3 linked regions of the Drosophila melanogaster genome follow. The protein of the gene in region 2 interacts with the protein of the main gene of each other region in a pairwise test. Each region holds a gene or a part of one and is shown on either strand. Other genes may lie near its edges. The genes, in order: Rgl, Rap1 and PDZ-GEF.

What was found.
Region 1: the proteins of Rap1 (region 2) and Rgl interact in a two-hybrid assay, tested with the Drosophila melanogaster proteins (2 studies listed by BioGRID).
Region 3: the proteins of Rap1 (region 2) and PDZ-GEF interact in a two-hybrid assay, tested with the Drosophila melanogaster proteins (one study listed by BioGRID).

What each region holds. Positions count from the first base shown.
Region 1 is NT_037436.4:13,916,927-13,922,051, reverse strand, and holds the start of Rgl (Ral guanine nucleotide dissociation stimulator-like), read left to right. Parts: upstream 1-2,086; 5' UTR 2,087-2,858; coding exon 2,859-2,861; intron 2,862-5,125.
Region 2 is NT_037436.4:1,858,217-1,864,260, reverse strand, and holds Rap1 (Rap1 GTPase), read left to right. Parts: upstream 1-2,021; 5' UTR 2,022-2,200; exon of another isoform or gene 2,201-2,331; intron 2,332-2,444; exon of another isoform or gene 2,445-2,584; 5' UTR 2,585-3,049; coding exon 3,050-3,604; 3' UTR 3,605-5,146; downstream 5,147-6,044. Other genes in the region: HBS1, read left to right, coding at 1-1,228. UniProt on the Drosophila melanogaster protein: Ras proteins bind GDP/GTP and possess intrinsic GTPase activity. Plays a role in photoreceptor cell determination.
Region 3 is NT_033779.5:6,321,720-6,327,190, reverse strand, and holds the start of PDZ-GEF (PDZ domain-containing guanine nucleotide exchange factor), read right to left. Parts: upstream 3,425-5,471; 5' UTR 3,073-3,424; intron 2,019-3,072; 5' UTR 1,924-2,018; coding exon 1,894-1,923; intron 1,835-1,893; coding exon 1,589-1,834; intron 1,479-1,588; coding exon 1-1,478. Other genes in the region: Ddr (discoidin domain receptor), read right to left, coding at 5,056-5,220, 5,283-5,432.

The sequences.
Region 1 (5,125 bases), about 12 Mb from region 2:
ACTTGAAATTTGTGTCGATCCGATTGCAAGTTTGGTCGCGTATCTTGCAGATACATCCGCTTGGCCGAGTGAATTGCACAACCCAAATGAAAATAAATAAGTAAACGCGTTACACGTGTCCGCCCAAAGAGTGTGTGCTTTCGAGTCATTGTTCGTCGTTAGCTGTGCCAAGCCAAAATGCGCGTATCCGACAGATACCAGTCATCATCACAATTATCATCAGCATCTACAACACCACCATCGGAAATTGCATCGCACCAGATTTTGAGCAGCACGCACCTTGAAGTAATTGCAGCATCTGGCCATCGTCAACGCTGCAGACTATAATGAGTCAAAATGTGGCCGACAGTTTGGTGAGTAGCTAAACCATTATCTTGTTCATGTACTCTAGTATATAGCAAGCGTAGAAAGTAACAGGGAAATGCATAGAAAGTCATTTTGAAAGTATCTCGCAGAGCACCGAACTTTGTGTGGAGGCTTTTTGCCCAGGTCTGCTAATTATTTGGTCAAATAGTCCGTAGACTAAGTTAATGAAAAATATGTTGCAACATTTTGATTAGAGTGGTGCCGAAAAATCGAATTAAAGAAATTTATAATTTATAATTTAATTTATAATTTTTGTGATATTTATTATCACGATCACAACACAAGAGCGGTTTTTTCGTATGACTAAAGTTTTGGAGCACAACATTTTTCATCTAAATATATATTATGACGTTTACGTTTTAAAATATTATTCTCCATACTTTCTGATAGGGAGAACAGCAATAATTTTAAATAAATTTACTATAGCTTTAAACCGTATTATTTTGACACCAACATCATGAAGCACATTGAGGGTCAATCTTTAATTGATCTCTTTTTCTAGCTTTATATAAAATTCGTTATCAGCATCACCAAGTGCATAACAAATATCAGTGCCTTTTTTTGTATTGAAACTTGTTGCATTCGCTAATTGATCAATTGACGTGCTCATGGTCTCGAATATTTATCCAATGTCTACAAGCAACAAACAAAACAGCAGGCATCGTTTGATTGGCGCTTACGTAAATGCACGTTTTATTAATATTTCTGCTTATTGATTTCCCCGCCAGCTTTCTTTAAATCGTTACCAAATACCAGACAACACTCAGGTATTCCCATTTCCATAATTATGTCATTCCAGTTCACATGTTTGAACGGTTGGTCAAATGATAGCCTAAAAAGCCAAACAAAACATGGAAGAAAATTATTTAAATTTCTTTGTTGGCATTAATCAAAAATTTGGAATAAAATCCTACAGGTTTAGGAGGCCCATAAATTCCATTGATAAATGTGAAGCTATAATGAAGACAAATGCTATTGTGGGGGTCAGTGTAAATATATACCAAAAAATACTAAAATTGACAGAGAGAGTTGAGAGAGAGTTCTGATTAGAAACAAACAAGCCAACAGTCAATTGCTCATCAGAAAAAACATAAACAGAGCGCGAATGGCCAGAGCAAGTAAGATTTTTATGTTTGTTCTGATACGACATATATATACCGTGTATTTATTTTAAGAAACTTATTTATTTATATTTAGCGTGTCAACAGTCACTAGGAAGAAGTTTTAAAGAAATTTGTTTAAATTGATTTAAAAGGCCAAGTTACCATAGTGCAAAAGAAATAAAATCAATTACCAATTCAATGGTAAATTGACAGTTTATCTGGAAAAAGTTCTATTTTAAGTTTATTGACTATAAATTGTGAGAATATGTAGGTGTTTTAAATTCGGAACCAATATTGGAATGCATTGTTAATGTTAACTGTGTTTTTGAACTTGTTCGATGCAACCAATATACCTTCACGCAAGGTGTAAAACCATAGTGGGTGTTTTGCTAGAAGTTCCCACGGTCGAAAACTTGAGTACCTGAGAAAAGCGAACGAGAGAGTGCAATTGAGAGAACGGGGATGCTACAGTTACATCCGTCGAGTAAGAACATCCCCCGAAAATGCTTGCGTTCTTAATGACAGAGAGTGGATCCCCGACAGAGAGAGCGTGTGGGAGAGAGTAAGCGAGAGTTGGATACAGACGATGGGGTTTCGGGCGGTCGTTTGTTCTAAGCGGGCAGAGTTCGTCTTCGACTGTTGTTGGCGGCGGTTGCGTCGCGTGTCTCTCTACCGAGAGCTTTGTGTGTGTGTCTCGCGCGCGTTTTACGCTCTGCGCCCCCTACGCTCCCCTTTTCCAAGTAGAGAAACCCCCGAATGTGAATTTTGTATAATGTTTTTGTAATAACATGGATATCTCATGTTGAGATTTTCAGCCAAGCGAATGAAAATGCAAGCGGTATCCCGAAAATTGCCGTTTACGTGTGTGCGAGTGCAGCATTAGCAAAAGGAAAAGAGATAAAAGTGAAAACAAATAAATAGTAGGGAAGACGTGCTAAAGCACGAGAGCAAAGAGGAGATTGCCAGGCAGACGCATAGACGTAGTGCAACGAACCCTTCTTCGCGGACCAAGGATTCACCACTTACCACTAACCGGAGAACAAATACCAATATTAACCCCCCCACCTCTACTGCTACTGGGTGTGTTTCTCTATGTCCCGTTGACTCATCGTTCCCAGGAAGCTGAACAACGGTATAGCGGCCAGAACACAGAAGCCCAGTACAAAAAAAGAGCAGCAGGAATATCGATTTTACTTGCCTTTTACTTATACAACACCCCCACCACCCATTGAACTGCACTTGGGTGTAAAAATAAAACACCAGAAGCCATTAAAGGAGACGTGTAAATTAAAGCGAACCGACGAGAAGAGGATAACGGATAGGAAAACCCAAGCAGTGCATCCGTGGAAATCTCAGCAACATTTCTCAAGGAACAAAAGCCAATCTCAAATGGTAAAAAAAAACAACGCAATCCATCAGGCCGGATTAGAAAGGAGCGCACTTTAGATCTATTGGTTCTTATCCTGCCCTTACAGTGGTCACTCGAACGTTGATACATTGAAATGTTTTTTTTTAACAATATATTTAAAACAAGTACATCATATTTCTGCAATAAGCAATACATCGGTAACAAACTCCTGATAAGATAAAAACATTAATGGCTTGAATTTTATTACTATTGACCCTCGCCCTTAAATCAACGACATGGATAATTATCGATAATGCGCACCTTTTTTTGTCCGAGAATTTTCAACCCTGAAAACTAGTTGCTGTGTACTTGATCTGGTTTTGTGTGGAGAGGGATTACTGTAGTGTCTTGGTGTCGATTCACAAGGAAATGTCAACAATGATTATGGGCAAAAATGCAATGGTATGGAAACTTTACGCCTAAGTGGAGTCCAGAAATAAAACACCTTCTTTTGGTGGGGAAGGAATAGGAATCGATAAAAGTCGGGAATTTTTTACAAGTTATAAATGAATCATATGGGAACTGCCAAGCTTGGAGAAGCTTTGTTTTGGGAGTTTCGAGAATTTATATGCTAATTAAAAAGCATTCAAAATTGGTATACTTATGCTTGGGAACAAATGGTGTAGGGTATTCTTAAGTGATGTATATAATTTGTTTCGCAGGTGAAAGATAACGAATTAAAGCTATGAATTTAAAGGTGAATCAGTTTGAGATCATTTCAGTTGCAGTCCCAGTTATATTTTCGTTTCTTTATCATCCATTTATGCGGAGTGCCCCTAGAAATCATTTATCAGCTCCCATTGTATGCAAAACAAAAGCTCCGCCCCCCACTTCCTTTACCCACTGGCGAATGATGGGGGAATGCATAAAAAAAATAATTTACGTGGGGAGCTATGCTCAGTGGCTCAAACTTTAGCTTAGGTTGATATGTTTTTGTATTGTTTGCACATCATCTCTGCTGCTGCCCAACGGATGTGGTTTGATAATAGCCGAAAGAGCGGGACAGCTGCTCTGCAGTAGAGACAGATACATATGTACATATACACGTTAAATAAAAGTTTTATTCGGATATGAATTATGGTTTTTGAAATTAAAAATTGCAACAGGATGTGGCATCGGTTGATATTCGTTATGTTGTAATATAGCGAAAAGGAGACATTAGGGATAGAATATCGAATGCCAAGTAATGCCTGTTCTATTATTTCTCATAAACACAAACGATGTAAAATCTTGATGGACCTGTGTTAGTAGGCCGATGCAATTAAATTTGATCATAATTCCCTTCATTTTTTTTTATGTGCACCGAGGGAGCAGCAAATGTTGTCAAGTTGACTGCGTCGGATGCAGTCGCATGTAACTGACAGTCAGTCAGAGTCATTTAGCCAGTCAGTCATTTAGTCAGTCAGTCATTCAGGGATGACAGAGGGAAGGGGGAGAGACTGGTGTTTAGTTTCAGTCGTTTTTTTCCCTTGGCGTTTTCAATTTTGTTTTGCGTTGTTTTTTTTTTGCCGCTGCTTCTGTTGCTGCAATTCACAAAACTCGTGCCAGGGGTCGTCGATTTAAAAATAGAGATTTGTGTCTACAATTGCGGTCAAAATAAATGCCTTTTCATTTTTCAAGACAAGCGAAATGTATTGCTTATTTCGGACACCTAATCTATTGCCGCCAAGAACTAGGAAATTCTCAAAGAACTGTTTTTACATCGATACAAATTGCAATACTTTTACCTATAAATCGAATATCTCAAACGGAATACTATTTTACTATCTCAGAGTCATGTTTCATCATTTAAATATTGATCCATTTCCTTAGATGTATTTTCACTTTTAATCTATCAATATTGTGACCTCAGCTGTATGGCTGTTTGTTGATAAATTCACCCCAAATGCAAATGCAGTACCATTTCGCTTTGATGTTGCGGTTCGACTCTCCTTTGTTTTGGTTTCTGGCTATTTTTGCGAAGATCTGTAATTGAGAGAAACCCCCCCTGGGCGGAAAAGCAGAAAACGCCACCCACACGCTTTTCTGGAGGAAAGGTCACCTGCTTTATATATAGACAGATGATGATGTGGGCCGACCAATCAGGCGCCCCCTCATACTTGGATGTTATTTCTTTATAATTGGGTGCCTTGTATACACAAACACGAATATGTTTGACAATTGCCCGTCGTCTGGCATTATAATACTATATTATTTCATTACTTAATGAGCTTTATTTCTGCCGCAGTTTTTTTTGCACGGGCTGGGT
Region 2 (6,044 bases):
GCTGATGGGCCATCTACTGTACGACACCGGCAACGTTTCGCAGCGAGTGATGCACAAGCACGAGCAGGAGTCCAAGAAGCTGGGCAAGCAGAGCTTCATGTATGCCTGGGTGCTGGACGAGACGGGCGAGGAGCGGGCCCGCGGCATCACCATGGACGTGGGCCAGTCGCGTATCGAAACCAAGACCAAGATCGTCACACTGCTGGATGCTCCGGGGCACAAGGACTTCATTCCGAACATGATCTCCGGTGCCACACAGGCGGATGTTGCCCTTCTGGTGGTGGATGCTACAAGGGGAGAGTTTGAATCCGGCTTTGAGCTCGGCGGACAGACTAGAGAGCACGCCATTCTAGTGCGATCCCTGGGGGTTAACCAGCTAGGCGTGGTCATCAACAAGCTGGACACCGTTGGCTGGTCCCAGGACCGATTCACAGAGATTGTGACCAAGCTAAAGTCCTTCCTCAAACTGGCGGGCTTCAAGGATTCCGATGTGAGTTTTACGCCCTGTTCCGGACTAACCGGCGAGAACCTCACCAAGAAAGCCCAGGAACCCGCCCTGACCAACTGGTACAGTGGACGCCACCTCCTCGATGTCATTGAGAACTTCAAGATCCCCGAAAGAGCCATCGACAGACCGCTGCGAATGTCCGTGTCGGACATTTACAAGGGCACTGGCTCCGGATTCTGCATCTCGGGACGAGTGGAAACCGGAGTGCTGTGCCTGAACGACAAGGTGCTGGTGGGTGCCAGCCGGGAGCAGGCCCAAGTGAAATCCCTTACCATGAACGAATTCCCACAGACTTGCGTGTTCGCCGGCGATCAGGTCTCCGTCACCCTGCCCGCCTTGGACATCAACAACGTCACCGTGGGCTGCATCATCAGCGATCCACAAACCCCTATTCCGGTGACAACGCGATTCCAGGCCCGCATAATCGTGTTCAACGTCAAGGTGCCCATTACCATGGGCTTCCCCGTGCTGCTGCACCACCAATCCCTAATAGAGCCCGCCGTGGTCTGCAAGCTGACCGCATCGATTCACAAGAGCACCGGCGAGGTGGTCAAGAAGAAGCCGCGTTGCCTGGGCAACAACTCGTGTGCCCTAGTGGAACTGGAAACCAGCAGACCCATCTGCATCGAGCGGTATGCGGACTTCAAGGAGCTGGGACGCGTGATGCTTCGCGTGGCGGGAGTCACCATTGCCGCCGGAATGGTCACCAAGATCCGCTAGGTCGATGACCGCGCTGGATTTTGTACGAAATTTTAGTTAGATATTAACTTTTGTTGATTTCCTAAATATACATAGTTTATATGAATTGATTAAATCGAAAAGACGCTGAAGCATTGGAAGAGATTTCGGTCTGACCATTTTAGCGGTATCTTAAAGTGGAGTGTGTTTTTCATGGAATTAATCACTTTAAGAAATTATTATATTTATTATCATTGAATTAATCATAAGGAATATAATTACAATTTATACATAAATTGCAATATCACGTTTTTGGAATATTATGACCCCTACAATAATATTCCAAAAACGTGATATTGCAATTTTTGTATAAATTGTAATTATTTTCCTTATGATAAATTCTATGATTCAAAACTGTATCTCGAAAATGTGAATATGCGGCTGACTAAAATTCTGAATGCGAATCATATTGCTGATTCATGAAACAATCAAGCATTAGAATTTTTTCTTAAACTATCGGCAACACAGCTTATATATTATTTGCAAATTATGCTTAAAAAATAAAATAGGAATACCATAAAATATCACTTACTGTAGAAAACAATTTCAATATGAAATCGTATTAACAAAATTAAAATTAAAAAAAAATATATAGGGAAAATAACAATTTAAATATTTCCAAAATTTGATGTGCTAATATAAATTTAAAAGAATCAAATATATTTCGAATATAAATTTTATAGTTTATTTTTAAAATTTACAGCAATGCTTTAAAAGTGTCATCGCTAAGCCATTGCGATAGTCGTGCGTAGCCCTCGGCCTGCGAGTGCCGATAGTGCCATCGATGCTTTGGCAGCCCTAGTCTTTGAGTGTTCGCTGTTCGCTGAGGGCGAAAAAGTAAAGAAATTACAAGGCAAACTAGTGTTAAATTAAAAGTGAAGCGATTCGCGAGCGGCGACAGGTGAAGCGGTCCCCAAGGAGCAAGCAGTTGGCGGCAGCGAGTGAAAAGCATAGGTAAAACTCCGCCCAGAGTTGCCCTGCCGCCCGACATGCGGGTGCATTTGCGTGGTTCAGTTGTTTAGTGGCCGTTCGGTAGGCCGATGTACGCACATGGGTGCCCAGTGTGCAATTTAAGTGCATTTTAAGTGAGAGAGCTGAGTGAAATTTAAGGGAATCTCCGGCTTGAGGCGTTGCAGTGGGGCGCTGCGTTCGGTGCGGCCGCCTGGCAACCCTGAAAATGAATCATTAGAGCGAGAACGAGAACGAGAGAGTTGTGAAGAAGAAAAGAGGGAGTGCAGTCAGTTCTCAGCATACCAAAAAACGCAAACCAAAAAGACTCGCAAAGAATTTAGCGTTTATTGTGTCTAAAAAGCGCCTTTCTTCTTACTCCCCCCACAGTGTGCTCTCGGTAGCAGTGACGGCCGTCTCGAGGAACAGTCAAGCCAGGATATTTCCGCTCAAAAAAGCAACAATTGAACGCACGCAACTCGGCGGAAGGAGCGAGCGAGAGAGGGAGCACAAACACCATCACACATTCACACACACTAACACACACACACTCACGCAGTCACTTACACGGCACAAAGGTTATCAACAGCAAAAGCAACAACAACAAACAATTTACTTTAAATATAAAACATATATTAACTAATAAGCAAGAGCAACAAAAAAAAACAAAAACAAAAAACAACTGCAACCGACAAGCAATCGCCGAACAACGCCTAAAAACAAGTGATTTTCGAGGGAGAGCCACCTGGAAAGTGAACCCACCTACCTGGCCTACCTGCATTTTGGGTCTCTTCCCTAGAATTTAGCACAAAACAAGAGATATACGAAGGATATACAAACAGCACAGCAGCCAGCATGCGTGAGTACAAAATCGTGGTCCTTGGAAGCGGCGGCGTGGGCAAATCCGCGCTGACAGTCCAGTTTGTCCAGTGCATCTTCGTGGAGAAGTACGATCCCACCATCGAGGACAGTTACAGGAAGCAGGTGGAGGTGGACGGACAGCAGTGCATGCTGGAGATCCTGGACACGGCGGGTACGGAGCAGTTCACGGCCATGCGGGATTTGTACATGAAGAACGGCCAGGGATTCGTGCTGGTCTACTCGATCACGGCGCAATCGACGTTTAACGATCTGCAGGACCTGCGCGAGCAGATACTCCGGGTGAAGGACACGGACGATGTGCCCATGGTGCTCGTGGGCAACAAGTGCGACCTCGAAGAGGAGCGCGTCGTCGGCAAGGAGCTGGGCAAGAACCTGGCCACCCAGTTCAACTGCGCCTTCATGGAGACCTCAGCCAAAGCCAAAGTGAATGTGAACGATATTTTCTACGACCTGGTCCGGCAGATCAACAAGAAGTCGCCCGAGAAGAAACAGAAGAAGCCGAAAAAGTCCCTATGTGTTCTGCTATAAGACTTCCAAAAACCACCAAAACTAAAAAAACAAAAAAAAAAATATATAACAGAGGAGGAGGAGAGAGGAGCAAAAGTATAAGCGTAAAGTAAAGAATTTTCAAATTTTTTTCGTTCTCGTTTCGTTTTGGATCCGATGGCAATTGTCGAATTGAAATAACCAATCTACTATATACAAGCAAAACTTAAACTGACAAATGTTTTTAACTGTTTCAAGTTTTTGTAATTATTACCATTTACTACTATTATGATTGTACTATTTTTCGCTGATTAACCATTAATTCATATGGGGAATTATTATATATATATATCTACATATTTAAATATATTTGTCGTTCGTTTTTGAGCCGTTTTTTAAATTATGCAACAAGTGAAACATTCGTAAACTAAAACATTCGTATTTATTGATTCTTTTCGATTGTACTCTACACATCTACAACTACAACTACTTATACACGCGAAAGCCCAACCAACAACAAGTATATCTTTAAATAGAACCGAAAACAACATTCGAAACACAAATCAAATTAAGCTAAACTAAATTGTACGCCTAAAAGATAAAGATAACAAATTCCACGAGAGAAATGAGCAAATAAATCGAGAAAGGAAATGAATCATGAATAAGGAACATATTTTATAAAAATATTGTATGCAAATGATGTCAAAATGTTGCAAACAACCAGAAGTAATGAGCCCCCTCCCCCTTAGAAATTAGTTTAAAACAAATTTACAATTAATTGTTTACCACGATCAGTTGCATCAAATCTGAACCCCCCCCCCCAAACACACACATACCAGCCACATCCCACACACACACACACACATTCGCAACCAGAACTCACACACACAAACACACCTACACATTTCCGGCGCGCTCTCAGAGAGCGAAAAAGCTACACGAAAACGGAAGCGGAATCGAGACAAGAGGCTCCTGCGGCCAAGGCTCATTTCCGCTTCCTGGTAAAAAGAAGAGGAGCAGGAAGTGCAGAGAGAGCCACAAATTCTAGAATATTTAATACATAAGAAATGGTTTAACACAAACTAAACTGTCGTGTCAATCCCAAAATGAAAAGAAACCTAAAAACGAAGTAATTTACAAATATTTCATAATAAACATTGCATAAACTTCGCGTACGAGTAGTAACCAATATGCCCTTAAATCAAAGTCTAAACACAGCCAACAACCAACATTAAAAGTAAACTAAATAAAACCTAAGCCCAAGCGTATATATTAAATATATGATAAAGATACAAATCATTTTTGAACATAATAAACAACAAACAAACCAACCGTTACAATAACATAATGTAATAATGAGCGTGTGAAAAATGTAATTGAAAAACCATTTTTTCGAACTTGTTTCCCTACTGGTCGCGTTTTTGGGACCCCACACAGAGCCTCTGATCTCAGAATCCTGGCAGTCCCGAATTCGCGACGCAGTAGGTCGACATGATCGAGCATCTTTTAATTATTAATAAATGTATTATGTTTATAAAAAATTAAAAAGGAAATGCAAAAACAAAATAAAAATTAAATAAATTCATTTGTGGAGCGTATGCCTTATTCTTAGCATAGTTCATTCAGAAGTTAAAGACAAGACGATTGCATTGAAGTTTTGAAATATCTGTATTTGATACTTGGAATAGTTATATAAGGTTGTTATTCAAATATTTATACATATACAATTACAATCAAATAGCTCGTCTTTATAATTATAATATTCTGCTAGTTTATAGCACGCATGTTAATCCAGCGTAAGATCTGCGATAGGATCGATTCGGAGTTAAGTTGGGGCGTAGGAGTAGTAAAACCGCATTGTATCCACAGCTGATATGGTATGCAAGTTCCGAGAGATTCGCGGGTTGAGATATACAATCATAATGCATGCTTTTCGTAGAAGCCGGCGAATCGCTCGCCAGCAGTTAAAATGTAGAAAGTGAATTTTAAGACAGAGTTACGTGGTAGTTTCTATTACTGTACAATAAGTGGCTCGAGTTCCGCTTCATGACTAGGTTTTGGGCTAAGCAAAGTGCTATACTGGGGGACTCGCCTCCGATTCCTGGTGTGATGCTTGTTAATTAACGCTTTTTATAATCAGTCGAACGTGTGAGTGAGTGTGGCTTTCTAGCAATCTCTAGCAATCGCGGCTTAAAAGAGGCCGCCTTAGTATCGATTACAAATTATGCATAAAACTTAACTACGCTAATTTGGCAACAACGAAAGGGTAAACAAAACGTATACAAACAAGGAATATATGTATGGGTATATGGGGGTATTGCACGGTAGGGTAAAAATTGCACTTAAGGTTAAAACTAGGGTAATACCATCGCATCTTTGTGTCGAGATTGGGATAGGAGATTTCAGATTTCGTTCTTGCCCGGAGATTACTTTGGACTGGGGAACTGGGGAGATTACTAGCGCACGTGATCGTCACGTTATG
Region 3 (5,471 bases), on a different chromosome or scaffold from region 2:
GTTTGCGGTGGAGCGCAGTCCGGCTGGTCAAGTAGCATATCGACGGAACTAAGGCGCACCATGTGCGCCCGATTCGAGGCGCTGACGCTGGACAATTCGTCGGTGGTGCTATCAGAGCGACCGTGCAACTTAGCAATATCATTGGCGCAAATACGGCGTGGACTTCGCACGGACTTGAAACTGCCGCTGCCTGCGGAAATGCTTCCGGATCCAGCGGTTCCACCGCCATGCTCAAGAGCCTGCATAATCTCCTTGAAGCCAAGCAAGTTGCTCTTAACGCTGATGCTCAAATGGGTGGTGCCTGTGAGTATCTCGAGGGCTCGCTTGCTAGTCACATGGTCCAGCGACTGTCCATTTACTTCGTGAATCTGATCGCCTCGCTTAAGGCCCACATCCTGGGCTTTTGATCCCGGCTCGACGTGCGAAATGTAGATGCCCACTGCTGCGTTTCCAGTGGCTATGGCGACGCCTCGAAGCTCGTAGCCGCCCACGATGCGGAAGTTGAGCGGCTCGTCACGTGACGATCGAGTGAGGGTACAGCTGCGCATCCGTGCTTTGGCGGCACAGGCTATGTGCAACAGGCGCAGCTGACTTAGCAACTTTTTTCGCTCTAACAGTGCCTCAAAGACTTCCAGAAACTCCATCATCTCATAGTCCGCCTCGAAATCGGTGAAATGGTTGTTCACCCAGAGGAGCACGACGCGTGTTACGCGATCTCGCAGTTCCTGCGTCTTGTGCGCATCCACCTGCTCCAAATCAAACCAATGCAGCAACTTGCTGGTCACCTCTTGTGGGTTCTGAATAAAGATGCGGTGTGTGAGCAAAAAGTCCTCCACGTATGTGGGATCGGTCATCGAGTTTTCCTCGACCAGCTGCTGTAGCAGACGCTCTGGAGTACCGCGGATAACTACGTGACCACGCTTCATATTTAGCGAAGCCGAAGCTCCTGTCGCCGATCCGCCACTGCCAGCAGAATCAGTGCCGGCGCCGCCAATGGACCGGAGTTCAGTGACCATAACAACGAAACCATTCTCGTCCTCATGTCGCCGGGTATTCTCCTCGCCTTGATGCTGAATACGGTAGTAGTCCGTCTGCGTAATGCACACAAATTGGCAGTCATCGCACTTCGTACGCATCACACCCCGGTGGTACAGCTTGTCCATGGTGGGTAGAATGCCGAAGGAGTCTCCCATCTGCAGCTCTTCGCGACTGCCATTTGCATGCTCGATCTCCACCGCTCCGTTTATGAGCACCGACCATGAGTCCAGTTCCTCACCATCTGACATGACCACGGTTCCCGCCTTGTCCACAACGGCGAATACCATCACGGAACATAGTGCTCTTCGCACTGCCAGCGTAATGTTTGTGAATGCCTTAAGGCCCTGCGTGAACTCAAGCAGTACTTCCACATCTTCCTCGCTGCGCTCCGCCGGATCCTTTTCCAGACAGTCACGCACGGCATCCCGCACGGTAAGACTCTAAATAAATCAGAAAAAAAAAGCCAAATAAATAATCAGATGTTCTTCCTTTTCTAATGACATTCTAACACATCGTTGTAATGTATACATTGGATGTTTTATCCACTTACATCCATGCTCTCCGCCAGGTCCTCCTCGTCAGAGTCCACAACGGACTCCACCAGGCCGGAGAGGTCAATCTCCTCGGCCTCCAGCGACGAGGCATAGTTCGAGGCCATTGTATCGCTGCCGCTGTACGCCGAACTGGTGTCACTGGAGTGCGAGCCCCGGTTGCATTTTTGGTGCAGTTCCGGCCGGTTGATTGTAGTCGAGCTGCCCACCACCACTCCTGTGCCTGCTATGCTTGTGGGTGGATACTGTTGGGGAGAGAGGTCAATTTAATTCAAGTACAATAAGCTAATCTGCGCGCACTCACATGATGTCTGATATGGTGATACGGATCCATGAGGGGTAGCTTTTGCTGTGGATGCTGTCTACAACGACATGCCAACCTTTGCCCCGTTTGATGTGATATGTGATGAGATTAGACTTTATACTTAACTGAAAAGGTTGAGAAAGGACCATGGTTAGAAACAAAAGAATTAGTGTGTAAGTCATCTTATAAGTAAAGGATTCAATACGCTTCTGTTCTTTATAAACCTCTTATTTTATATCAAAATTCCGTACGTCTAAAGAACTGAAATCGGACTTCTAAAACCACAATCAACTTTCTGTAACTTGTTATATCCTCATGATCACGGATATAGATAAAAGCAACAATAGTGGCAACTTTTAAAATTGCCATTTGTTCATTGTTTGCTTTTGTAACCGAAAACAATTGGCCGAGAGATTAGCCATTGTATAGCGTTTGGGCCAATTTGAAGAAAGGGTGGCCCAAATCGCGGATGTAGTGGCATCTGCGGAGCTTTGATTGCGATGCACACGGCGCTCGAAAACAAAGGTTTTCGAAACGAAATTGCTGTGAGAGTTTGTTAGTCAATTCTTATTCGGCTTTTTGTTTGCTGGCCGCGCAGGTTGCTGCTTTTGTTTTTTAATTTTTGTTTTTTTTTTTTTGCTGGGTTTTTTTTGCTGCCCGCACTAACACACTTTCATTTTCCGCCACAACAAACACAATGCTGCCAATAAATTAAGGCAAACAAAAACAATCGGAGAGCGGGCGAAAATTCTCATGGGAGATTGAGTATGCGCTGCCTACGCGTCGGCGGAGTGTGCATGTGTGTGGGAGCCAAAGCTGCTACTGTACGTGAGAGCGATTGCTGAGCGTTTGCATGTGTGTGTGCGAGGGGGCGAGCGACACAGAAAAATAATAACAAAAAATGAAACGAAAATTGTAGGCGACGACATCCGAAGCGCGGATAAGCCATACACAACAATAATAATAGGAGCATTGCAAAATCAAAGCGTAGTAAATAAAACACACTTTGCACCACCCACACAGACAGCAGACGCACTAACACACTCGCACAGCCAGCAGATATGGGCGTGTTTGGTGCAGTTGAATGGTTTTTGCAGCCAGCAAGGGTCCTCCAGTGGCGGGGGGTGGGGAGTTGGTTGGGACTGTGTTTATGCCCCTGCACTTGCTAATTATACGCACTTTTTTTTTAGACGCAAGTAGTTTCCCAGCTGCCCTTTTTGCGTACACTGCTGCATAAAGAGATTCAAGCAGCCTGTGTGTGTATTGGTATTGTGGTGCGCATTGTTGGAATTTCTTTCACTCACACACACAAACACACATCTCGACGAGGAAAAGTGGCTGTTGCACTGCAGTTTTGTGAGCGCTTTTCGCTCTCAGCTGCGTGGCCGAGTGTGTAAGATGGTATTTCGAGTTGCTTTCATTTGGTGAATTAGTTTTTCGATTCGAGGGCGACCGTTTAATTTAGAAAAATTAAGTAGCTGAAAACTAAAAGTCCGACGCGTCTTACAGTGTGACCACACCGCTCAGTGATACCAGGTTTTCTATACTATCTATGACTATCGCTGAATTGCGGTATTTAAATACCGATTGGTTGGTATAGATTGTTCACTAAGTTCCTTTTTAATACGCTAGTGGCGCCACTTCTGTTTCAAAAAATACCCGCTGATCTGGGAATCGGTTATTTCTGCTTTATGTTTTTTAAAACATTTATTTATAGATGGCGCCTTGGTGATTTTTATTATTTTCATACATTACCGTTATCAATTTATAAATTGCAAACTTTTTAAAACAAAGTCAAGTTTGCCCCAGAAAATCGAAATGCTGTGTTTTTAAGGATTTTTCTTTATTTATAATCTAATGCAATTTCTTCCATTTCAAAAAGCGTACAATTCTGAGTTTCATCTTTAGAGTTCTTTTTATTAAACATGATTGTGCTCAACGATTTTCTTTCTTGTCTCTACTTTTTGCTTATTTATATTTTGAGTTACACTGATCTTTAGAAAGGGAAACGTATCGTTTAGTTTATGGTTATGCTAAATTAAAATAATTATATTTATATTTAGTAAAGAATCATTTTAAATATTTGGAATACATGAAAACCATTGAACTCTTAACTGAAATAATGTAAATGTCGTCTATCATGCAAATTTAAAACGAACTTACAACTATGCTTATGATTAAAACTTATTTTCTTAGATCGAGTTGATATAACTGCATATCTTTATTCAGCGAAACCTTTTTAAGCATTTGATAGAATACAAATTAAATAAAATAGATATACGGTTATTAAGACTTTGTACAGCACAAGAAAATAGGAGGGAAAAGGCACAGTAAAAATTTGGTTAAACAAAATACATTTTTGATATGCGTCTAATTGACTTTTGTGTAGACTAGAGATTTAAGAACGAATGTCTGCGATTAGCCTAGGTTTTTAACTCGAACGAGTTTAGATTTGCAGAAATACAAAGCAATTTGCACAATTGTTTTCACACTTCTTTGTTTAAACAGTTATTGTCAAAATTATATGCAGGCTTTAAATATTTTTTTTCCATCGCGATACATCGTCAAAATGCAGTTGTAATTTCCAGGAAAAGGGGCAGCAACGGCAGGTGGACATTATTTAGTTTTTATAAATATAGACTCATTTCACTTTACTCTAGTAAATATGTAAAGCATAATTGATTTGATAGATAGCGTTCAGGTGGAGGAGCGATAGGTACACACATATGTCAATGTTTTCATTTTCGATTCCATTTAATTATCCATTGGATAGAATGCACAAATATTACCATACGGAGTTTTCTACCAATATTATTTACACTTAAACTCTTTCAATGTGTATTATTCGAGGGATTTTATAAGCTATTCACTTGATTGTGTCCTTAGAAGTATAATATTTGTTAGCGATTCCTGTGTTTTACCGTACAAACAGTCGTTACCTCTGATATACATACATATTTGGATAATTTCCGATTGGGCATACCCAGTCGAAGAATGTGTAACGTATTAAATTCGGGGTTTGATTTGCGATTGTTATTCATTAAGTTCTCTACATGCATTTCTCTTTAAAATTACGTTCTTCCCGGATAGCTGTCGAAATTGATAATTGAATTATAACCTGCTAAAATCATGTTCAATTCGTATTTCTACGCCTAGAATGTTTCAATACATGTGTGTATGGGTCTGTGGCTTAAAACCTAAATTCTTGCGCTGCAGATACAAATGTATCTCGCGGAAACTGGGTCGACTCGACTCGTCGCGCTGCCAGCACTCGCACATCAGATCGTAAATCTCTCGCGGACAATTCGGAGGCATTGGCAAAAGTTCCTAGAAATACGAGGCAACATAATTCTTTGACCACATCAATAATTGTTTCTATAGCCACTCACATGCATTTTGTAGTCCCGATATATGAGGCCGATGTTTTCAATTACACTTTTGTCCGACAAATGCTCGTAGGGCTGCTCCCTGGCGAAAGTCAATATTTCCCACAGGGCAACCGCAAAGGACCACACATCCGATTTCGTTGTGAACTTGCCCTGCAAAGAGGTATTATCAAACCATGTTAGATAACAGAT